Linked DNA regions of Elephas maximus indicus. The protein of the gene in region 2 interacts with the protein of the main gene of each other region in a pairwise test. Links are inferred from orthologs where the notes say so. Each region holds a gene or a part of one and is shown on either strand. Other genes may lie near its edges. The genes, in order: TRIM42 and LONRF1.

The links.
Region 1: the proteins of LONRF1 (region 2) and TRIM42 interact in binary tests that used the Homo sapiens proteins (3 or more experiments, as listed by UniProt). The two-hybrid records come from large-scale screens. The link is inferred for Elephas maximus indicus from reciprocal best matches to the Homo sapiens genes LONRF1 and TRIM42.

Annotation. Positions count from the first base shown.
Region 1 is NC_064841.1:18,929,938-18,942,953, forward strand, and holds the start of TRIM42 (tripartite motif-containing protein 42), read right to left. Parts: upstream 4,782-13,016; coding exon 4,441-4,781; intron 1,351-4,440; coding exon 650-1,350; intron 1-649.
Region 2 is NC_064840.1:72,299,118-72,311,702, forward strand, and holds the start of LONRF1 (LON peptidase N-terminal domain and RING finger protein 1), read right to left. Parts: upstream 6,055-12,585; 5' UTR 5,981-6,054; coding exon 5,335-5,980; intron 1-5,334.

The DNA.
Region 1 (13,016 bases), on a different chromosome or scaffold from region 2:
CCATGAGCAGGTATGCAGAGGAAAAACAAGCTGTAAACAGAATATTATAGGCTATTTCCAAATTTCCTTGTCATTACATGTTTGCTACCGGCTCACTTGCTTTGTTTGCAACTTTTGGGAAAAAACTCATGGGGGAAAACTTAAAGTTGAGATAATTCCCAACATTGACTTAATTCTTTCCCCCAGCAAAGTTGGTAAGTACTGAAGAAATCCAACTTTAGTAAAAAAAATACCTACCTCCAACAGGTTTATAGAACTCAAGGTTCCAAGAGATCAAACCCTTCATTTTTCAATGGGGAAAATGAGTCCTGAGGACATGAAGATAATAACAAAGATGACAGAATTTTGAGCGCTTATTATATGCCAGATACTCTTCTGTATGCTTCACATAGGATAACCAGCTTAATATAACAACCCAACGAGGGTATCACTACTATTGTCCTCATTTCATAGATGGGAAAACCCAGGCACAGATAGGTGAAATGGCTGGTGGCATTTGGGGTTAGCTCAGAGTTTCCCAGTACTTGGGATGCTCCACTAAGTAGAGGTACATCTCTCACTAAACAGACTGCCCCAAGCCATTTCCCCCCTCAGTTCCTGAGCTACTAGTTATTCCGGCGGAGGGCGGGGACTGGAAGGGGACCAGGACCTGCTTTGAACTTGGCGATGGCGCTGAAGAGCGCAGCGGCCCTCTCGGAGCAGGCGTCAATGAGGCTGATGGTGTCGTGGCCGTTGTGCAAGGCAGTCTTGCAGGAGTGGCAGAGAAGCTGGTTGTCGCCACGGCAGTACTCGACGATGCGGCTGGACGGGTGGTGGATGCAGATCTTCTCGTCCTGGTCCTCGGGGCTGGTATCTACGAAGACGTGGTCCTGCATGGCCACGTCCGAATGGAAGGTCTTGAGGCAGTCGTTGCACAGGTTGAGGCGGCAGGTGACGCAGCGCTTGTAGGCGATGCGCCGGCTGCGGCAGACCTGGCAGAGGATGGGCCCGGTGGAGCGGTCGAAACGCCACTTGAGGTAGCCGTGCTCCTGCATGTAGCGCTTGGTGAGGCGCCCGCGCAGGTAGTTCTCGGGCAGCTGCATCTTGTGAGTGTACGGCATGCAGTGCGAGCGGTCGCACACAGGGCAGATGAGGATGAAGAAGTTCTCGGTGACCTCGGCGTGTTTCTGCAGCTGCCGCAGGCACTTCTCGCACAGGCAGTGGTTGCAGGGCAGCATGAAGGAGTGCAGGCGCAGCCGGTTGCACATGGGGCAGGTGAGATGGTCGACCAGGTGGCTCTTTCCTGGTATCTGCTTCGTGATGTCTTCAATTTGGGAATCGCTGCTTCCGATGCGCAAGGCGGTCTTGGAACTGAAAGTGAAAGCAAACACAGGGCTTCAGGAGGCAGGCTCAAGAGCTCCCTCCGTTCCTTGGGCCCTGAAAGGACCTTGGGGTCACAGAACAACAGTCCAGTGTGAAGGTGAGGTGCGTGGACTCAGTGGACAGAGTGCCTGGGTTCCAAACATGCCTCCATCACGTGCTGGCTGGGTGACCTCAGGTTAGTGAGTTAACCCCTCTCTGCTTGTTCCCTCATTACAAAACTAATACCATGTTACAGCCTTTCTTGAAAAGCCGAAATGCAGTTTATACCCGTAGGGACTTACAGAAGTCCCTGGAACACAGTGCCTGCTGTACAACTGCCGTTGTTGTTGCTCTTGTTATTTTTGAACAAGAGAAAAGCAGGCCCTGACAAACAGACCTGGCCTGCGCTATCAGTTAGACCTTGGTGTTCTTCTGTTGAACATAATATCACTGAGCACCAACATCATTCAAAGCCTCTCTGGTACTGTGATGGAGCAAAACAGAAACAAGACGACTCCACAGTCATGTCTGAACTTAGACAAAACCAACAACATTGTCCAAACCACAAAAACGCCCACACATTCCCCTACCCTGGCTAATAGGAGTGGAGTGACTGCTACTTCTTTCCCAACTGCAGCTTTATGCTGTCTTCTTTCCACATTTAAGGTAAGATTTATTAAGATATCCAATAAGAGACTTACACCGACGTTCTCACCTAACATGAGTCCAAATCCTGTAACTTTTTAACGTCCTTTTATGGAGTTACCACACAGTTCCCCATGGTATATGATCTCAGTTGTTGCAATGAGTCAATAAACCCATTTTTTGTTCAGCTAAAAAAATCTGTTGCCATCGAGTCGATTCCAACAAATAGTGACCCTATAGGACAGAGTGGAACTGCCCCATAGGGTTTCCACAGAGCAGCTAGTGGATTCAAACTGCTGACCTCTTGGTAAGTGGCCAAATGCTTAACGACTGCGCCACAACTACAGGTGTGTTATCGGTGGTTTTGCCTGGAGAGTATTGAGATTATTATCATTACTGTCAATAGGATGGAACAGAGAGTAGGGTAGGTAAAGGGCTTTTCCCAGGACATCAGGAGGTCAGTAGTAGACAGGCGTCAACAGCCAAGAACCTGTGTGTCCCAACCACCAGACTAGTAGGTAACAATTCAGAGTCCGGGCTCTAGGGGAAGATTATATGTGATGGAATGTGCCAGCTTAGAGCTGCTCCTTTGGGATGAGTTTCTTAACCTCTCTCATCCTCAGTTTCCTCACTGGTAAGTCAAGGCTCACAATAATGCTTCTGTCATGAGACTTTTACAAAACGTAAATAAGATAATCCATGATAAGTGCTGAACTGCTGGTACGTAGTAAGCTTTCAGTAAATGTGCCCATTATAATTACTTTCCTCTGTTACTAGTTGTCTAAGTCCACAGTAGAGGAAAACAGTGGTCAAGTCCATGGAAAGTGTGTGCTGCTACTGTTCTGGGTGTATGTGTTTAGTCTTTGTCTGCTTACGTTATGCCAAATGCCTGAGGCTGATTTCCTATATTTAACCATAAGAACTATGAGTGAAGTAAAAGCATACTGGTAAAATTCATGTGTGTGTTCTAAGAAGCTCCAACCAGGGCAAAAGCAGTGTATGAAAAGAAATGAATTAGCTGTGGGAATGGAGGGGTAAACACAATTTGTGGCTGTACCTATCCCTTTACCCCCGTTGACATTGATAAGGATTACATTTTGATCTTGACCCTGTGGCTCTGTTCCTTTCTGCCTCGACTTCTTGCATTTTCTGTATGTCCCTGTCTCCAGGTGATTCTAATGCACAGCAAAGTGTGGAAGTCACTGGCCTGAGTCATTTCCCCAAAGCACCAGCCAATATCATCCCAACTCCACTGAAATGGGCTCAGAAACTCTTTCTTGCTGATACATAGAAAACAGGGCAGTTGAGAGGAAAGGGGTTTGTGGATACAATTTTCCACACCCTAGAACTTCCTGACTTGCATGCAGAATCCCTGGATTCATGCAAACAGCAATAAGAGGTCCATGGGTAAAGGGTAACGTTCATTAAGTGTCTACTATGTGCGTAACTGCAAGATGGATCACACTCCTCTACCCTGAATTCACTGAACCTTTGCGCACAGAAGTACTTTTCCAGGCTTGAAAGGCCTCAATCCTGCCTCCCGTTTCTCTGCCTCTCCAAGTCCTGCCACCTTCTAGGGATGAGCTTTCATCTTTCCTCCTCTAAGATGTCTGTCCTTACTTCCCTGTGCTCTGCTCATCTGTGATATAAAAAGACTGGTTTGGCCAAACTAAGAAGAACATACAGAATGCCTGGCATGGAGGGTTAATACCCCAGATGGGTACTTGAGACCCTAAATGTAAAGGCTTGTGGATGGGAAAGAAGGAAAGGCTGGCAGGAGTCACAGGTGCCAAGGTACCTAGATAAGCCATAGGAGTTAAAAGTGGCCGCTGAAAGTCATCACTTACTCAGTAAGTGTTGGCAATATCAAGAGTTCAGAGGAGAAAGGGGAAGAGCAATTTCTGTTTTTATATCACATAACAGGTTACAAAGCATGCCCTCATACCCACCACATCATGGCAGGTATTGTTCTCTCCGTTCTACAGAACGGCCTTTTAAAAGTTAAGAGCATGGACTCTAGGTTCAAATCCTGACTTTGCATCTTACTTGTTGTATGATCCTGGGAAACGTAGCCTCTCAAAGGCTGGGTTTCCCCATGGGTACAGTGAAGATGATGGGAGGGTTAAATGGGGTCCTGCATGCAGTGCCTGACAAGTTGCTGACGCACTCAGCATTAGCCACGGTACTGTCACTGTGTACAGATGAGGAGGCTGAGGGCCAGTGCTGCACTCGGTCATGGAGTTAGTGGAGCTTGGATTTGGAACTCAGGTCTGTAAGTGGTTAGCACTTGTTTAGGATACATTTAATCACTACAAAATTCTTGGTCTCTTTCTTTTCAGGTGGAAAAGTGGGCCCAGGGGGTACCTGGCCTGCCCTGTGGGCCCCGCAGCTGGCACAGGGCCCCTGGTTGTCCTGAGCCAGCGCGACCCCACATTGGAGACGCCCGGCACTTACGAAGTGCGGATGCTCTTGAGACGGCCCTTCTTGAACGTGATGGTGGCATTGCGGCAGCAGCGGCTCTCGTAGTAGTGGCACATGAGATTGCTGCTGGCCGTGCAACAGCACTTGCAGTTGGGGTCGTTGGCCCAAGAGCAGCAGCACCAGTGGCAGTTGGGGTTCTCGGAGCAGGTGCAGTGGCAGCATTGGCAGTTTCGCTCGTCCTTGTAGGGGCAGGGGAAGCAGGTGCAGTTCCGCTCCGAGGTGAAGAGGAACTTGCAGCACAGACAGGAGCATAACCGAGGACAACATCTCTGCCATGTACAACATGGAGAGCAAACACACATAGCAGTCTCCATGGTGCCTACATGATGGCAGCCTGCCCCTTAGGACTTTTGACGCCTCCTCTACCAGAGTCCCGCTGTTACTTCTCCAGTAGAGGGGTCCCTCCTCCCCCTGATGAGGCTTCAGCTTGGTGGCAGCAACAGGTTGGCTGTTAGGAGGCCTTCACAGGTGATGTCCCTACTGGGAGGCTCATGGGCTGTTATTTACGCATATCAGCCTGAGGCTTTTTGCTTATGTCACAATCCCTGTCTCCCCACCATTATCTCACCACCCTGTGTAGGTGGGGCAGGAGGGTGAGACGTTGGGGATGGCAGCGGGTGGACTGATGGACACTCCATGCTTCCACAAGACCAGCTCCAGGGGAGTGATGTTACAATGACATTTTGAAGGTTTAGCTGTCACTCGTCGCCTTTCAGCTTATGGGCTGGATTTCAGAAGCTGTTTCTCCTTGCTTAGTGCTGTGCTTGCAGTTTGGGCAAGCTGACTTCAAGGTATGTCTGCATGGGCTACAAGGCCTGGGTGTAATTAATTGGGAAAGTAGACTGACATGTTTTTCCTCTCCTTGGGCTTTTTCTGCATAGAGAGAATTCTTCATTTGATGAACACAGTGTTTACAAATACTAGCAATGCCACACTTAAAGGGATATCATCATTTGGAGAAAGAATTAGAGGAAAAAAACAGATACAGGCACAATTAGGCACTTTCAATACTTAATGGTTTTGTCAGTCACTGCATAATCGCTGCTGATTTTCATGAGGCTTCAAGTATAAGTCGGAAATCCTGGTGGCATAATGGTTAAAAGTTCAGCTGCTAATCAAAAGGTTGGCAGTTGGCATCCACCAGGCGTTCCTTGGAAACCCTATGGGGCAATTCTACTCTGTCCTATAGGGGCACTATGAGCTGGAACAGACTCGACAGCAATGGGTTTGGTTTTTTGTTTTTTTTTTTTAGTTTCACGTGTAAGTCACTATGAGTGTTTCTTGGTTTTTCTGCAGCTTGATGGAGTCTGGCTGAGGCCCAAGCTCTGTTTACTTTCTCTCAGTCTACTCCCATCCCAGCACCTCTATTAGCAAGAGACTAGAACTTCATATGAGAATCTTTAACTGGGCTGAAGTTTCCTTGTTCTACTAGTATATATACTCTGAATCCCTAGAAACCAGACCTTATATTATAGGGGAGAATTTAGATTTCTACTTTATGTAGCTTGCAGAAATTAAAAGAGCAGACATTTCATGATTATACCACACTGTAATATAAACACTGTCTTATTATTTTCCCAAAACGAAGCAGAAGCAAGAGTTGAAATTTAGCTGCAGGAGTCTTTTGCATAATTTATTATCTCTTCTTATGATTATCACATTCATAATAGGAAAGAGCATTCACTGGGTGCTCTGTGCCAACCACATGTTGAGTCTAGATTCCTACTAGTAAAAATCCTGGGTGATAGGACATGTACTTTATCTTTTTTGATAGATATTATTAAATTGCTTGTTAAAGTGTATGTGCCAGTACATTCTGACAGCAACACTGTATGAGAGACCTAAAAATTAAACAGTTAAACTCATCAAAAGACTTCTCCAAAAGAGAACCTACTATAGACTGGGAAAAAAAAAAATTTGGCTGTGATATAGCTGACAAGGGTCTAATCTCTAAAATTCATAGAAAACTTCAACGCCTCAGCAACAAAAGGAGAAACAATCCAGTTAAAAAATGGGCGAGGGATATGAACAGACACTTCACCAGAGAAGACATTCAGGTGGCTAACAAACACAGGAGGAAACACTCATGATCATTAACCATTAGATGCAAATCAAAACTACAATGAGATACCATCTCATTCCGACAATAATGGGACTAATCCAAACACAAACACACACACACACCACAGAAAATAATAAATGATGGTGAGGTTATGGGGAGATTGGAACTCTTCTACACTGCTGGTAGGAATGTAAAATGGTACAGCCACTATGGAAAACAGTATGACACTTCCTTAAAAAGCTAGAAATAGAAATACCGTATGATCCAGCAATCCCACTCCTAAAGAAATAAGAGCTGTGACACAAGTAGATATATGCACAGCCATGTTCATTGCAGCATTATTCACAATAGCAAAAAGATGGAAACAACCTAAGTACCCATCAGTAGATGAATGAATAAACAAACTGTGGTACGTATACACGGTGGAATACTAGGCAATGATAAAGAATAACGAATCCACGAAACATCTTCCACCATGGATAAATTTGGAGGGCATTACGCTGAGTGAAATAAGTCAATCTCAAAAGAACAAATATCGTATGAGACCGCTGTTAAAAAAACAAGAAAAGATTTACACACACACGTTGTTTTGATGATTACCACCGATGGGAGGGGGAAGGAGGGAAAAATAGAAGACACGTGTTAATATTGGTGAAGGGAAAGGCAATACAAAATATGAGGGAAGTCAGTACAACACGACCAAGGCAAAAGAAGAAACTGAAAGGAATGCGAGAATTAAGGACCCCTACGGTAATTACTGTAACATAGATAATCCTGCAACAATAGTATTAACAGTAATCTATGAATGGATACACAGGTAAATAAGTATGCTAAAGAGGTGGGGGGGTGGGGTGTAAGGGAGCACACCTACCCTGCAGATATAGGTTTGGTTGTGGATATTTCTACATATATAATTGTAGGTGCTGCAAGTATGTTAATATAGACAATAGAGCACACAAGGGGCACAGTCATGGAAATTTCTTAGCCATAACCAAACACCTCGATGAAGTTCCTAGGCTTAAAGGTGAAGGACCACAGACTCGGGGACATCTACTTCAATTGACACAACATAGTTCATAATGACAATTGTCTGCATCCTACTTTGGTGAGTAGCATCTGCGATCTTAAAAGCTTGTGAACAGCCATCTAAGATACGACTAATTATCTCTTCCCATCTGGAAAAGGAGAGCGAAGAAAACCAAATACTCCAGTGAGCAATTAGTCCAAAGGACTAACGGACCACATAAGCCACAGCCTACATGACCCTAAGACTGGAAGAACTAGATGGTGCCCAGCTACCACTACTGATCATTCTGACTAGCATTGCGACAGAGGGTCCTGGACAGAGTGGGGAAAAAAATGTAGAACAAAAAATCAAATTCACCAAAAAAGACCAGACTTACTGGTCTGACAGGGACTGGAGGAACATCTGAGGTTATGGGCCTAAGACACCCTTCTGACCTGGAACTGAAGCCATTACCAAAGAGCACATTTCAGCCAAACCATAGACAGGCCCATAAAATAAACAATAACACCTGAGAGGAATGTGTTCCTTAGAAGTATCAATTATATGAGATCAAAAGGACAACATTTGCCCAAAAGCAAAAATGAGAAGGCAGGAGGTGGTAGAAATCCAGATGAAAGGAAACTGGGAACTCAGGGTGGAATTGGGGAGAGTGCGGACACATTGGGGGAATGCAACCAATGTCATAGAACGCTTTATGTACAAACCATTGAGTGGGAAACTAATTAGCTCTGTAAAGTTCCATCTAAAGCACAATTAAGAAAAAAAAAAGCAACCCAGTGTATGAGAAGACACCTTTTCCCCACGTTTGCCCAAACTAAATTTTACCAATATCCTTCCCCATCTTTCAGGTACAGAGGTTTGAGTTTTACTCCTGGATATATGGTTCATTTTCATCATTGGTCTGTGCAAGGTTTCTCTTGTTTTTTTTTTTTTTGAGATGATTACATACCATAACGTTTCCCATTTTAAAACGTACATTTCAGTGGTTTTTAGTATATTAACAAGATTGCATAACCATCATCATATCTAATTCCAGAACCATATCTAATTTCATCACCCTGAAAAGAAACTCTACCCAATAGCAGCCACTCCCTGTTCCCTCTTCCCCTAGCACCTGGAAACCATTAATCTACCTTCTGTTTCTGTAGATTTGCATATTCAGGATATTTCATAGAAATGAAATTATACAACATATGACCTTTTGTGTCCGACTTTTTTCACGTAGCATTATGTGTTCTAGGTTCATCTATGTCGTAGCATGTATCAGTGTTTCATTACTTCATGGCCAAATAATATTCTATTGTATGGTGTCTTAGTTACCTAGTGCTGCTATACCAGAAGTACCACAGGTAGATGGCTTTAACAAGCAGAAATTTCTTTTCTCACAGTTTAGGTTAGAAGTCTGAATTCAGGGTGCCAGCTCTTGGGGAAGCTTTCGCCCTTTGTTGGCTCTAGAGGAAAGTTTTTGTCTCCTTAAATTCTGCTCCTGGGCGATCTTCATGTGGCGTGGTATCTCTCTTCCCTCATATCTTTCTCGCTTGCTTATTTAATCTCTTTTATATCTCAGAAGAGATTGACTCAAGACCCTAATCCTGCCTCATCAACCTAACAAAAATAACCTACTCCTCATTAACATAACCTAATCCTGCCTCATTAACATATGTTCTTGTTGTTGTTAGATGCTGTCGAGTCGGTACCGACTCATAGCGACCCTATGCACAACAGAATGAGACACTGCCCGGTCCTGTGCCATCCTTACAATTGTTGTTATGCTTGAGGTTGTTGTTGCAGCCACTGCCAATCCATCTCACTGAAGGTCTTCCTCTTTTCTGCTGACCCTGTACTTTACTAAGCATGATGTCCTTCTCAGGGGACTGATCCCTCCTGACAACATGTCCGAAGTATGTAAGACACAGTCTCTCCATCCTTGCTTCCAAGGAGCATTCTGGTTGTACTTCTTCCAAGACAGATTTTGCTCATTCTTTTGGCAGTCCACGGTATATTCAGTGTTCTTTGGCAGCACCACAATTCAAAGGTGTCAGTTCGTCTTCGGTATTCCTTATTCATTGTCCAGCTTTCACATGCATAAAGATGCAATTGAAAATACCATAACTTGGATCAGATGCACCTTAGTCTTCAAGATGACATCTTTGCTTTTCAATACGTTAAAGAAGTCTTTTGCAGCCGATTTGCCCGATGCAATGTGTCTTTTGATTTCTTGACTGCCACTTCCGTGGGTGTTGATTGTGGATCCGAGTAAAATGAAATCCTTGACAACTTCAATCTTTTCTCCATTTATCCTGATGTTGTTTATGGTCCAGTTGTAAGGATTTTTGTTTTCTTTATGTTGAGGTGTAACCTATACTGAAGGCTGTGGTCTTTCATCTTCATTAGTAAGTGCTTCAAGTTCTCTTAACTTTCAGCAGGCAAGGTTGTGTCATCTGCATAATACAGGTTGTTAATGAGTCTTCAGTCCTGATGCCCATTCTTCATATAGTCCTGCTTCTCGAATTATTTGTTCAGCACACAGATTGAATAGGTATGGTGAAAGAATGCAACTCTGATGCACACCTTTCCTGACTTTAAACCAATCAGTATCTTCTTGTTCTGTCCAAACAACTGCCTCTTGATCTATGTACAGGTTCCTCATGAGCACAATTAAGTGTTCGGGAATTCTCATTCTTTGCAATGTTTTCCGTAATTTGTTATGATCCACACAGTTGAATGCCTCTGCATAGTCAATAAAACACAGGTAAACATCCTTCTGGTATTCTGTGCTTTCAGCCCGGATCCATCTGACATCAGCAATGATATCCCTGGTTCCATATCCCCTTCTGAAACCAGCCTGAATTTCTGGCAGTTCCCTGTTGATATACTACTGCAGCCGTTTTTGAATGATCTTCAGCTAAATTTTGCTTGCATGTGATATTAATGATATTGTTCTATAATTTCCACATTCGGTTGGATCACCTTTCTTGGGAATAGGTGTAAATATGGATCTCTTCCAGTCAGCCAGGAAGCTGTCTTCCGTATTTCTTGTCGTAGATGAGTGAGCGTTTCCAGTGCTGCATCCGTTTGTTGAAACATCTCAATTGATATTCCGTCAGTTCCCGGAGCCTTGTTTTCTGCCAGTGCCTTCAGTGCAGCTCGGACTTATTCCTTCAGTACCATTAGTTCCTGATCATATGCTACCTCTTGAAATGTTTGAACATTGACTAACTATTTTTGGTATAATGACTCTGTATATTCCTTCCATCTTCTTTTGATGCTTCCTGCGTCGTTTCATATTTTCCCTGTAGAATCCTTCACTTTTGCACCTCAACGCTAGAATTGTTTCTTCAGTTCTTTCAGCTTGAGAAACGCTGAGCGTGTTCTTCCTTTTTGGTTTTCTATCTCCAGGTCTTTTCACGTGTCATTATAATACTTCCCTTAGTCTTCTTGAGTAGCCCTTTGAAATCTTCTGTTCAGTTCTTTTACTTCATCATTTCTTCCTTTTGCTTTAGCTGCTCAACATTCGAGAGCAAATTTTAGAGTCTCCTCTGACATCTGTCTTGGTCTTTCTTTTCTTCCTGTCTTTTCAATGACTTCTTGCTTTCTTCATGTATGCTATCCTTGATGTCATTCCACAACTCGTCTGGTCTGACCATTAACATATAGAGGTTAGGATTTACAACACATCACAAAATGGAGGATAATTACATCAAATCACAAAATGGGGCACAGCCATACAATAATGGAAATCAGAGCCTAGCTAAGTTGACACATAGTTTGGTGGTGGTGGTGGGGAGACACAATTCAATCCATGACATATGGATAGACTACATTTTGTTTATCCATTCATCACTTGATGGGCAATGGATTGTTTCCACTTTTTCACTATTGTAATATTGCGATAAACGTTCACATACATGTTTTTGTGTAAACATATGTTTTCATTTCTCTGGGGTATACATACACCTAGGAGTGGAATTACTAGGTCATACGATAACACTATAACTTTTTGAGGAACTGCCAAACTGTTTTACAAATCAGCTGTACCATTTTGCATTACCACCAGGAATGCGTGAGAGTTCTAGTATCTCTGCATCCTCCCAAAACTTGCTATTTTTTTTTTTCATTATAGTCAACCCAGCCAAAAACCAAACCTGCTGCTGTTGAGTCAGTTCTGACTTATAGCAATCCCATAGGGTTTCCAAGACTGTAAATCTCTATGGAAGCAGACTGCCACATCTTTCTCCCACAGAACCACTGGTGGTTTTGAATCACCGACCTTTCAGTTAGCAGTCGATCACTTTAACCACTACGCTGTCAGGGTTCCTTACAGTCATCATAAAAAAAAAACAAAAAACAAATCCATTGCCATCAAGTCGATTATGACTCATAACAACCATATAGGATAGTAGAACTGCCCCACAGAGTTTCCAAGGAGCGCCTGGTGGATTCGAACTGCCAACCCTTTGGTTAGCAGCCATAGCACTTAGCCACTATGCCACGAGAGTTTCCACAGTCATCATAGTGGGTATGAAATGGGATCTCACTGAGATTTAGATTTTTCCATTCTCTGAAGCCTAATGATGTTGAGAGTCTTTTCATGTTCTTACTGGCCATTTGTATATCTTTTCTGGAGAAATGTCTATTAAGATCCATTTCTTGTTTTTTACTGGGTTATTTGTCGTTTTTTATCGTTGTAAGAGTTATTTATATATTCTGGGTACTAGACTTTTATCAATATATGTTTTGCAAATATTTTTTCCATTCTGTGGGCCATCTTTTTACTTTTTTGATAGTATTGTTGGAGCACATAAGTTTTAAATTTTGATATAGTCCAATTTCTCTATTTTTTTTTTGATGTTGCTTGTACTTTTGGTGTCATTTAAGAATCCATTCCCTAATCCAAAGGTGTGAAGATGTATACCTATGTTGTTTTCTAAGAGTTTTATATTTTTAGCTTTTACACTTAGGTCTTTGATCCATATTGAGTTAATTTTTATATGTGTTATGAGGTAGGGTTCCAACTTGATTTTTTTGCATGTGGATATCCAGTTGCTCCAGCACAATTTGTTGGTAAGACTATTTTTTTCTTGTTGAATGGTCTTGAAAAGGTTGTTAAAAATTGATTGACCATAGATATATGGTTTATGTCTGGGCTGTCAATTTTATTCCATTGATCTATGTGTCTCTTCATATGCCAGTACTACACTGTCTTGATTATTGTAGCTTTGTAGTCAGTTTTGAAACTGGGAGTGTGAGTCCCCAACTTTTTCTTTTAAACATTATTTTTTATATTCTTGGTCTCTGGTATTGCCAATCTAAATCTTAGGACTAGCTTTTTCATTTTTTTCACAGAAGGCTATTAGAAGTTTGATAAGAACTGCATTAAATCTGTAGATCAATATGGGAAGTATTGCAATTTTATAATAGTAAGTCTTTCAATCTTTTATTCATTTACCATGATGTTGC
Region 2 (12,585 bases):
CACCACACAAATTCGTTTAAAATGATACTTGAATATTTCCAAAAAAAAATATTCCCTTAAATATAAAATAGATTCTGAACAAACAGGAAGTCAATGTACAAATAACTAGAAATCTCAGAAAGCTGGGTTTTGCTAAGTTTTGTATTATTGGCTTAATAAATAAAAAATAGGCAAAAACATGCAAATTATTCATAAAAAGCAGGGTATTTAATAGCCTTTATAGAACCCATTTTCTTCATGTTCTATAAAAAGGTATAGCAACAATTGTGAGGATGGCACAGGACCGGGCAGTGTTTTATTCTGTTGTACACAAGGTCGCTATGTGTCGGACCCAACAAGACAGCACCTAACAACAACAACAACGTAAGAATGTGCCATCATAACTGATATTATGGTGACCATGAGTCACAGCAAAAATTCTTAAAGTGTCTTCTGAATTAAAAGATAAATCTGAGATGTACTACATGTAGCCTCAATTAATTGGAAGCTAATTAAGCAGTAAGCCCCATTTTCTAGTGATATCCAAGAAAAATCCGTTTGGTGAAATTATAGAAAAAACAAAAATACAAAGTAGATAAGGACAGGGACTTAATTTTGTTCACTTCTGTTTTCCAGCACCTAAAACAATGCCTGGCTATTGGTTACTGAATAGATGGTAAAAATAGCTAAGGTTTATGCTTTACGTGTAAATTTTAAAAATCAATTTAATGCTTAGAGACAATAGCCACACATCTGGTTTCCTGGTTCAGTTCAAGCCTGGCTACTGACTTGCCTGAATAAAGTCACTTAGGGCTCTTGTAGCTTTTCTCTCCCATCTGTGAATTAGGGGTACGAACACTTGCTATCCTACCTGACTTGATCTTATATGAAGCTCAGTTAGGATAATGGAAGCTAAAGGATTCTGTGAACTATAAAACATCATATAAATGCCAGTGTCTACTGTTTCAAGCAAGTCCTTTGTGGAATAAGTTAGGATATGAATTTTATTGACTAAATTCAAATCTCTTCACTGAATCTAGTTAAGTGGCTAAGGATATTAAAAGCCCTATATTTCTTTAAATGTATTCAGTATTTACCTAGGATCTGACCAATATCTTTAGAACTAAAGCTTTGCAATATCTATATTTTATTGATGTGTACTAAAATGTTACTACAGGTAGCCCCAACTTATACCAGGGCTCCTTTCCAATGACTTCCTAGTAAGTCCCTTCTGATGTAAGAAACACTTTTTTTTTTTTTCCAGTTTTTGTTATTATTGCCTTTTATTTTCAGTATCTTTATAAATCTGATCTTTGTCTTTGGGGGTTGGAAACATTACCTATAAACATCTAAGAGTGAACATCTGAGAATAACATCGGCAAATTACACGCTGCCACACTGTATGTAGTACATATTGCCAACAATAAATTCACTAAAAAAAAAAAAGTCATTAAGTGCAGTTTGCCTTCACACAAATACGTTGCAAATGGAGGACTACCTGTACTAAATAACATGTGCAGGCAAGGTCAGGATTTAACCATCGTTCTGGTAATAAATACCATGAATGTGGGAGAGAGAAAAGGACAAGATGTGAAATCACTAAGGTCTACATTTTAACTCAGCTAGCTGCAGCACAGCTTGTACATTTTAAAAATATTTTAATTCCTATTTAGTGCTTTTACTGTGTCAGGCACCATTCAAAGCGTTTCATGTGCTTTGATACAATTCTCAAAGCAATTCTATGAGGTAGATACAATTGTCTCTTTTTAAATGAGAAAACCACAATAAGGAGAGGTCAGACAGCTGGCCCAAGGTCTGAGAGCTAGTGGCAGGCTGCAGTAAGACTGAAAACTAGGTAGGTGGCTTCCAGCATCCACAGCTCTCATCACCAAGCTGTACTGCACAGCAATCTTGGGGTGCCTCAATTTTGCTGTAAGGATAAGACTGCCCAGGATTCTGTGTGAGGATCAAATGATATAAACAATGTAACAATACTTGGTAAGAGTCAAGGACTATATAATTAACATTAAAGACAAAAATTTCCCTCCCCAAGAATTTTACATGGAAACTCTGGTGGCCTAGTGGTTAAGTGCTGCAGCTGCTAACCAAAAGGCCAGCAGTTCAAATCTACCAGGCACTCCTTGGAAACTCTACAGGGCAGTTCTGCTCTGTCCTATAGGGTCGCTATGAGTCGGAATCGGCTCAAGGGCACTGGGTTTTAAGAATTTTACATAAAATGTTCTCCCTAAGGTCCTGTATTTTTTAAAAACTGGCTCGAGCTGTAAATTATGCTGCTTTGTTGCCTTTTGGGGGGGGAAAGGGGTGTATACAGGGAGGTGCCAAGTCAGTGTAAAAATCCATTTAAAATAAATTGCAAACAACATAGCATTGTGGGATCATTTCAATAGACTCTTGTTAAGTCTAAAGATTCAATGTAGAAAAGACTTTTACATAACATCCTTGAACACTAAGAAGGCAGAAAGTTACGAAACATCTGAGAGTTAATACCAAAAGATCAATGGATTAAATGTTTTCTAAATATACCTCAATGCAACAGAAACTTATGTAATCTCAATGGGAAACTTGTGATTTTGGCAAAGGTTTTCAAACCTTCTGGTTGACGGATTAATCATGTGTGGGCTAACTGCAGAGGCGATTTTTTTCTTTCTAGCTAGTATTTACTTGTTACATTACAACAATTCTATGAATAAGTTATAGTGAAGGCCTTCATTATTAATAATGAAAGTATTATTAAATAGCTACAACAGTACAATAAATAAATTTCAAATGTCTATCAAAAGATCAAAAGGTCAGCAGTTCAAATCCACCTGGCGCTCCTTGGAAACCCTATGGGGCAGTTCTACTCTGTCCTATAGGGTCACTATGTGTCAGAATCGACTCGACAACCACGTGTTTGGTTTTGGTTATCTAATCAACTCTCAAGAAATCTAACAATTGTACAAATATATGATTTTACTAGTTAATGTTTTTATTTATGCCCATAAACTGTGAAGCACACTGTCTGCACTTTATCAACTCATTTGTTGGCTCTAAGACTTTGTCCTACTTCGCCCTAAGAATTCAAGGGATGCAAGAATGTACACTTATTAACTTAAGAGAAGGTTATAATCATTAGTTCAGTAGTAGTTAATACTGAATAGTGCTGTTGGTAAGTTGCATCCTCTTAATTTATGCTCAAAAAATTATACTGGTGACCAAAAAAAAAAACTTTTTTGGAAATTTATATTAAACATTTTTATTGGATGAGCTACAAAGGCAGCTATGGATCCTGGACCAACATTTAGGAGAAGAGGACCAACACTGAGCAGAACAGTTAGGAGACCTGCTAGCTGCGTGGGTGTGGACCAGCCATTTCACTGCCAGGCTCCTGCTTCTTCCTTTTTAAAATGAGGCCCATGGCGAGATACTACATGGGCTGCACAGCTGAGACCAGCTTCCCCACTCTCCCTCTAGCCCCACCGAGAGGCAGAGCCCTGCGCACACGAATTCTGTACTCCAGATAGATGTCATTTGTTCTGAGTCTATCACTCCCCACTCTCCCTCTAGCCCCTCCAAGAGGCAGAGCCCTGCATACACGAATTCTGTACTCCAGATAGATGTCATCTGTTCTGAGTCTATCGTTCTATTTTCTAAGTGCCTACTCTTCAAAACGATACTGAACGAAAATGGAAATATGTTGACTTTGCGCTTTGAACCCTGAAAGTGTTAAATTATTCAAGTTATTGTCACTAGTTCAAAATGACTAAGCACTTAGGGAAAAGACGAACCAGAATAGACTTTCAGGTACATCGTTCATAAATTTACCTAATTCCTAACATTGTATTTTAAATGTCTTCTTATTTTCTTGGAAATACGCACCTAAGTATTATTCCTTTCCAATATACAAATCCAAACAAAACCAAACCCATTGCCGTTGAGTCAGCTCTGACTCACAGTGACCCTGACTTATCAGGACCCTATAGGACAATAGGGTTTCCAAGGCTATAATCTTTATGGAAGCAGACTGCCACATCTTCTCCCCAACAGTGGCTGGTGGGTTCCAATCGCTCACCTCCCACCTTTCGGGTCAGCAGTCCAGCACTTAAGCACCTGCACCACCAGGGCTCCTTACTCCAATATATAGACACTAAACTCTTGAAATACGCTTATATAACACAAGGCTTATCAACAGCGCCACTACTGACATGTGGGGCGTGATAATTCTTTGTGGTGGGTGGTTGTCCTGTGATGCTTAGCAGCATACTGACTTTAATCAACTAGATGTTAGTACCACCAGTGCCAGCCCAAGTTATGACAACCAAAAGTCTATCCTGGTGGCCAACTGTCCTGAAGAACCCCCCCTCCAGCTGCCTCCAACTGAGAAACATCGACTTAGAAGAACACCTCATTTTACGGAGGGGCGTTGGCCATTGCTTCCTTCCAGCAGACTAAGGGTACCTTAAGCAAAGTGTTAGCCTAAGTTAGAAGACAGAAGCAGCTTCCAGGGGATGAAGAAACAGACAACAGAGCTACAAAGCTCTCCCCACAGTTTGATCAAGAGTGGAAAGGCACACAAAAGCATGGCAAAGTACTCCATCAAAGGCTGCCTCTGTCTTTACAACGACGAGCTAGGTGCATTCGAAAACAAACATATGCGTATATGAAATAGATGAATTGAAACAGGAAGGTGGAAACCTTCAAGAAGAGCGACCAATTTTGAAGGCGTTTTCAGGCAAGGGGTGGCCGCCCCGGCCAGCGCCTGCATCGCCCGAAGCCGGGGCCCGGCAGGGGAGCCTTGGGGTGCCGGAGCCAGAGGAGCTCCCGCCACGCCCACCGGACGTCACCCGTTACACAACTCCCCCCCCCCCCAAGCTTATGCAATTCCGCCCTCCCGCGGCTCCCATTGCCCGGGTGACTTTTGTGGGAGAAGAAGGTAAACGTTGCACGCCTGGCCGCGGGTGGGGGCCTCTCCCGCCCCGGCTGTCGTTCCCCGCGGCGGGCTCCCCAGGGCCCGCGCGGCGGCGGCCAATTCCCGGAAAGCGCGGCAGGAAGCGGGCGGCCGCTCGGGCTGGCCCACCTCCCTGCCCACCGCGCGCTCGGCCGCCTCGGCCCCGGGCCCCCGCTCCGCTCCGGACGCCCGGCGGTGGCCGCTGGCCGAGGGAGCCGGCGAGGGAACTCCGCGCCCGTGCGCCCCTCCCCGCGCCGCGTCACAGTCGGCTCCGAGGGCGATCCCCATTGTGACCGAAGCACTCCGGGGCGCCGCCCCTCCCACACCCGCGCGGACCCCGGGACCCGAGGGGCCGGAGACGGGAGAGGAGGGAGGGCGGGCCGGGCCGCGCCGCTCCCCGCGGTCACCTGCTCGCAGCGCCTCGCAGGCGGCGGCCAGGGCCTCCCGGTAGCGCCCCTGCTGCAGCAGCTCCCCGAGCCGGCCGGCCGCCCGGGCCCTCTCCCGCAGGCCCGGGAACCACTTCTCGGCCAGGTGGTTGAGGACGACGCTGGTCCTGAAGCCCGAGGCGGCGGCCGGGGGCGGCGGCCCCTGGGCACCGGCGGCCGGCAGGCGGGCCCGGCAGAGGCGGCAGTGGGCGCGGAGCTCTCTCCGCAGGCAGCGGCGGCAGTAGCTGTGGCCACAGGGCACGGTCACCGGCTCGCTCAGGAAGCCCCGGCAGCCCAGGCAGCTCAGGAGCCCGGCGGCGCCGGCCTGGGCGCCCGCAGCCGGGGCCGCGCTCCAGCGCAGCCCGTGCCGGAGCCGGTAGTTGAGCACCAGGCAGTCCACCAAGGTGCCGAGGCGCTCGGGCCTGCCGGGGGCCCCGCGGCGCAGCGCCGCAGAGTACGCCTCCAGCGCTCCCTTCAGGTGGCCGCCCAGCGCCAGCAGCTCGCCGCGGCGCAGCAGCAGCTCCCCGCGCTCCAGCCGCTCGCCGCTGCCGCCGCCCACTGCCCAGCGCCGGGGGGCCACCTCGCGGCTCCCCCCCGGGCCGCTCCTCGCCACCGCCGGAGACGACATGGCCCGCGGACGGCTGCTGCTCCGCCGCCGCCGCCGCCGCCCCGCTCCCGGAGCCTCCGGGGCGCGCGGCTCCGCACGCGGCCCGCGAGCAGGGGGGCGTGGCGCGCGGACACGGCGGGCAGCGCGCGCCCGGGAAGCCCCGGAGGCGGGCCGGGCCGGGCCGGGCCGGGCCGGGCGGGGCGGGGCGGGGCGGGGCCGGGCTCGGCTCCCCCTCGGCCGGCGACAACCGACCGCGCGGCCCCCGCCCCTCGCGAGCCCCTGCTGGCGAGGACCGAGGTCAGATGATCCCCCAGCGCCGATCCAATTGGCTTCTGAGGAAAGAAGGGCCCGGCTAGTTGTTGGCGAACAAAGGACCTCCCTCCCCTTCCCTAACCGCCGGACTTCCCCACCTGCTAGGCCCTCTGCCCTCGTCTCTCCTCCAGCCCCTGCTCGGCCGGCCCTCCGGCCGGGCAGCCAGCCTCGCGGGTCTGAGGCTTGAAGGACCGACCTTCCCCTGACACGCCCGCCCACCTGGGTGGGGACCCGAGGATCCGCCCCCAATTCCTGGCTGGTGGGAGCCTGCACGCGTGGTGGGGCCGTCGTCAGGTGCAGCTCTGCTTTACGCCCCAAGTTACAGATGGTATGTACAGGCAGAGGGCTTAGGGATGCGTCAAGTCAGCCGCATGACTTGGTGACTCAAAACTTTAGAAACAAACGAACAAAACCAGCCACGTTCCTAAGGCGACTGCCCTCCAGAGAGCAAGGCAGTTAGCCCTGATGCCAAGTTACTGCTTTTCCTGTTTAAAACCCAGCCCCTAGCTCGAGGGGGGAAGCCCACAGGTTTCTGGTATGCCAGCTGTATTCGCCACACCTCAGTCACTGCCCCCAGTGCCGGCTAAGGTCTATAAAAAAAAAAAAAGGTCTATAGGGGGTGGTTTTAAAAAGAAATGAGGAAAAAATGCTTTTCATATGGCAGGGTTACTATATCACTATGACCCAAGCAGGGTCTGCATTTTGACAACAGAAGAAAATGACCTGATTTATATATAATGGGTTATATTGACTTTAATTAAACTTGACAGTGGCAAGTTTAAAGCTCTCAGTTGAAAACGTTTATAGATTTGATTATATACTAGATTGTCAATGCCGGAAGTGACTGGAGAACTTTTAGTCCTTTTTCAAATGGAAAATGGTGGCCCAGAGAGGGGAAGTTATTTGCCCCAAATCACACGGCTAATATTCTACAGAGGTTTTAAGGTCATCTAATTCTCATTCCACTATTATGTTCCTACGTTAGATTCTAGAAATAATTTACACGAGATTTCCAAAGTAAAGGGAGTTGCTTACTGGAATGTTAACCTGAGCATGCTTTGTCTGAAATTGGCTAATATTTAATTAATACCCCTCTACACACAACAGCAGTTAGGACTCAAAACCACGTTTTCAATCCCGTTTGTTTTTACTACACACTGAGCAAATCATGTAATTTCAGAGAAGGTGTAGCTCTGTTTCCCCAGAAGGTATGAGGAAGAAGAGTTGACTGAGAAAAAGTTGAGGCTCCTGCTTCAACCCAGTGCAGAGGAAAGCAAGTTCAGTTATCATTCACGTGGCACCCAAAGCAAATTATGGCTAAGCCCCCCCCCCAAAAAAAACCCATTGCCATCGAGTTGATTCCAACTCATAGCAACCCTATAAAAAATAAAACTCATAGCTGTCCAGTCAATTCTGACTCACAGTGACCGTATAGGGCAGAGAGCAGAACTACATTCATAAAGTTTCCAAGGAGTACCTGGTGTATTCGAACTACCGACCTTTTGGTTAGCAGCTGTAGTTCTTAACCACTAAGCCACCAGGGTTTATAACCCACTAAAACCAAACCCACTGCCATTGAGTCGATTCAGAGTAGAACTGCCCCATAGAGTTTCCAAGGAACGCCTGGTGGATTCGAACTGCTAAACTTTTGTTTAGCAGCCGTAGCACTTAACCACTATGCCACCGGGGTATCCACCAGGGTTTATAAAAAAAAAAATGGCAACTCCTAATTATTTGGGGGAAGGGGTTAGTGTGATTAATTCATGATCATAACCTCAAATCTAATCCCAACTCTTTACATTGCTACCTTCTCTCAATTAGCAAAACAATGACGTTAGTCAGATGCCCACACACTCATTTGAGACTTGAAACCGTAAGTCCCAGAAAAAATATCCCTATGCTTGTGAACATTAACTTTTAGGGTGCATTCTTGTCATCAAGAGCAACTTGCAACAATGTACAGTGGTAAATATTTAATAAATAGATGTTTTTATGGTCACACAAGGAGTATAAGACATTGATACATATGCATAAATTACCAAATACAGATTACTCCGGTTGTATTAGGGAATTTCCCCCCAAAGTCAAATGTGTGATTCAGAAAAGACTGTGAAGTAGCATTTGTCCTTTGGAGTTTCTTTCCCTCATAAGTATGACAAATCTCCAAATCTAATTCTGTTGTGAAATAAAATGGCACAATTATGAGAATGTGAGAAAAAGGGGGGGGGGCTGTAGGAGGAATCTAGCCATGTTCTCCTTGGCATTTGTGAATGGTTACAATTGATGTTTTCTGGTTTATACATTTACATAACTCCTTCGCATTTATGTAACTTATTTATGTAAGAGGCTGTGCTGCTGCTGTGGTCTGTGTGCCTCGCACACCTTCCCTCTGAAGCCGCAAGTCAGTGTGGGGCAAGGCAGTCTCGGCGATGTCTCGGCGATAGAACGGGTCATTCTCCAGTTATTCTGTGTCACCCAAAAGAGATATGCAGTTGAATGTGGTTTCTGTTTAAATTCAAAAGAGAGAGAAGTTGGTGTCTTTCTTCATTCATTTTCTAAAATTTAGACTTTGGTTTCTGACTCACTGGGGAGAGGAGGAAATTCTGTGAAGCAGCGCTTGGCCAGGAGGAGAGTGACGGGGCGAAGCTCTGCCTCTTTTTCCTTCCAGCATTATTCTCTCCTGATATTCTTTGCTCACAAAGCAGTGAAATCAGGAGATTTGTATTTCATCTCAGTTTTTTTAGTGTTGTCTTCTAAAATGAGATCAGTTATGTAAGAGAGTACCAAGAAACACGTAACTGTTTCCTAATTTGGAAAATGCTTATCACCATCCTTCCTGCTTATCCCTGTCCCCCACCCCCCACCACCACGCCACAAGAAGACCGTTCTGATGTAGTTAAAGTAAACTCTATTTAGCAGTAATGTAACAGGGCTTTCCTTGTACATAAGTTAGCCGAACATGTGCATTGGAACCTCTTTTTTTTTACATGGGTGAATTTATCATTTGTTTCTTCACATCTTATCTTTAAAAAGGGGAGACTGAGTTTAAGCTATGAAGAAAAAGAGCCAAGCAAAATTACCTCCACTTCCTCTGGTTCATTTCAGTGGATAACATTCTACACGATATATTGAAAACAGTGAACTCTAAAGTTTCATCAGTACATACCAATAGTGTTTTTATATATACAGATGGGAGGGGCATTGAGACCACCTCTTCACAGCCCTCATTTTATACAGGAGACAGCTAAGATCCGAGAAGCTGCTGGTTTACTAGAAGGCATACCGAAGAGGGCATCCGGACGTGGTGCTGACCGTATTGATGCCTCTGTACCTGGGAGGAGCTCACCTGGCTTCGCTGGGCTTCATTTGCCATCTGAGGGAACTGGAAGGATCTCTAAGGTCCCTTGCACCTCTGGAGCTGAGCCCCAGGAATTTGTCGGAATCCAGTGAGAAGAGGCAGAGCCTCCCAGACTCAGGAACACAGCAATGTGACACCTGATGAAAATGTAACAGCAGAAGATGAAGGCTGAGAATAGACGAGGGAACCAAGGAGCACACTTGTTTTTAGCGAGCTCTCAGCCCTGCTCAGCAGAGGGGAAATCAAACTCTGGAACGTAAATTTTTTCAGTGGTTGGATAGGGATCACTCACACGTGCACGTACACACACACACACACCCCCCTCCTTGTCCCTACTGTAGATCTGTGAGAGGCTGAAGGTAAGCCTCTGGGGGGAGGAGTGGCTGGTTATATAATCTGGGCATTTGTGAGAAAGTTTATATAAGATGCTAAAAATACACAGTATATGATTGCTATAATGGTGTTCTCAGCAAAGAGCCCGAATGAGGATAACCTGAATAGGTTAAATAGAGGTGATGGTAAGTAGAAGCCTAAACTTAATTTCTTACAATGACTTCTGTCTCACCAAGTACAGCTCACTGTTAAACTACACTGTTATCCCACAAGGGATACTGTGAAAATGCTCAAGGGACAATACCCTTACCAAGGATACTATTCTGAATTCTTCTTTAACACTCTGAAGAATCTAGGTATACTAAATGCATATGCTATATTCTGGAGAAAAAAGACTGGTGATATACTTCTGAAAAATCAGTGGATGAAAAAATCCTATGGGTCACAATGATCTGATTCGGTTGTCCATGGGGCTGCCCTCAATCAGGGCTCGACGTGACAGCAGCTAATAACAACAAGAACATCCTGTCTTCTGTTTTGTTGGGAGTCAAATCGAGAAGATGAATGCATTTGCAAATATTAAGATGTTAAACGGAAATAGACAAAGGAATACATCCCATTATTTTAGCAAGTTCTAAGAACTGATGAATAAAATCTCCCAGTGCTTCCTGTTTTCTTGCCTTGTATTTTCCACCCTTTGGCACTAATGTCATCTGACATTTATATGTATTTTTCTTCCTTAAGAATGTAAAGTCCTGCCCATCATGTTCACCAATGGGTTTCTAACACCTAGGGCATGGGGAAGATAGTAGAGAATCACTGTTGAACTAATAGCTACACAAATTAAAGACATCACCTAGTACTCTTCATTCTTCTTAGTGACGAAAACTCACTAACATACTGTTGTTGTTGTTGTTGTTAGTTGCCATTGCATTGACTGCAACCCTTGGTGACCTTATGTGCAACAGAACAAAATGCTGCTTGGTCTTGTGTCATCCTTACAATCACTGGCATGTTCGAGTCCATTAGTCCTGCTACTGTGCCAATCCATCCCACTGAGGGTCTTCCTTGCCCTCATTGGACCTCCACTTCACCAAACACAACGTCCCTCTCCAGTGATGTGTCCAAAGCAAGCAAATCTAACAATGTTCTATTGTGATCCATAAGGTTGTCATTGGCTAATTTTCAGAAGCAGATCACCAGGCCTTTCTTCCTAGTCTTAGTCTGGAAGCTGTGCTGAAACCTGTCCACCATGGGTGACCCTGCTGGTATTTGAAATACCAGTGGCGTAGCTTCCAGCATTGTAGCAACACAGAAGCCTCTACAGAATGACAAACTGACAGACGGTGGTGGATTAACACACTGGTACAATTTTATTTCCTCCATTTCTCCTCTCTGTCTCTCACACTGAACATCTGGTCTGCCAGAAAATCCTTTTGGTTCTACCTTCAGAATATACCCAGAGTCAGTCTCTTCTCTCCTCTCCGCTGCCACCTCCCTGTTCCAGGCTACCAGCATCTACCAATTGAATTACTGCCACAGACTCCTGCCTGGCCTCTGTTTCTCTCATTTCTCCCTCTGTTCCATTGTCAAGTCAGGAACTGTGATCATCTTAAAGCATAAACTCCCTTGCTCTCCAAAACACAGCTCAGGAGACAATCTGCAGTCCCAGCTGTGACGCAGAAGTCGGCGCTTAAGTCTGCCTCCACCCTCCACCTCTGATCTCACCTCCCCCTGGTATCCTTGTTCCTCACTCCTCTCCAGGCTCACTAGCCTCTTCACCAAGGTTCATAGCTCAAGGCCTTTGCGCTTCCTGCCCTACACACTTTACAACCCTACACGCCCTTCACCACAGCCTCTGTTTCTTGATGCCTTCACTTCAGTGACCCCTGGGCTTCAACCTCAATCCACAACTGCTGTCTCCCTCTGGGGCCTGCACCAGGCCCCGGTGTGACCTGCCGTGCAACAGAGCCCTTTTTGTCCTCAGGGCAGAGACATGGTCTGTTTCCCCCGACCCCAAACACAGCAAGACCACACAGCCAACTGAGGGCAGCCCGTCTCCCCCAGGACAGGAAAGAACCCAGGGCAGGGCCCACCACTCCCATGGTGAGCCTGTAAGTGTTTTGGTTTTTTCAAATACAAAATATGAGATTTCACTTCAGGGGCCCAAATTGCCTTCATTTTCCACTGGAAAATTATCAGAATTATCAAAATTTGTTCAGAGATTACAGTCTCCCTGAGCTGGAAGGAACTTTAGAAATATCTATTACAACCCCTTCACTGTAAGTAGCAACCGTGGTCTGTTTGTCACACTGTGGTGGCTCATGTGTTGCTGGGATGCTGGACACTATGCCGCTGTAGATATTCATTCCTTTACAACTATCAGAATAAGAAATTACCATGTGTCGGGAGCCCTGGTGCCACAATGTTTAAGTGCTTGACTGCTAACCAAAAGGCTGACAATTTGAATTCACGCAGCGTCTTGACCAGATAAATACCTGGTAATCTACTCCCATAAAGATTAAACCCAAACCCATTGTCATCGAGTCAATTCTGACTCATTGTGACCCTATAGGACTGCTGACCTTTTGGTTAGCAGCTGAGCCTAGAAAATCTTATGGGG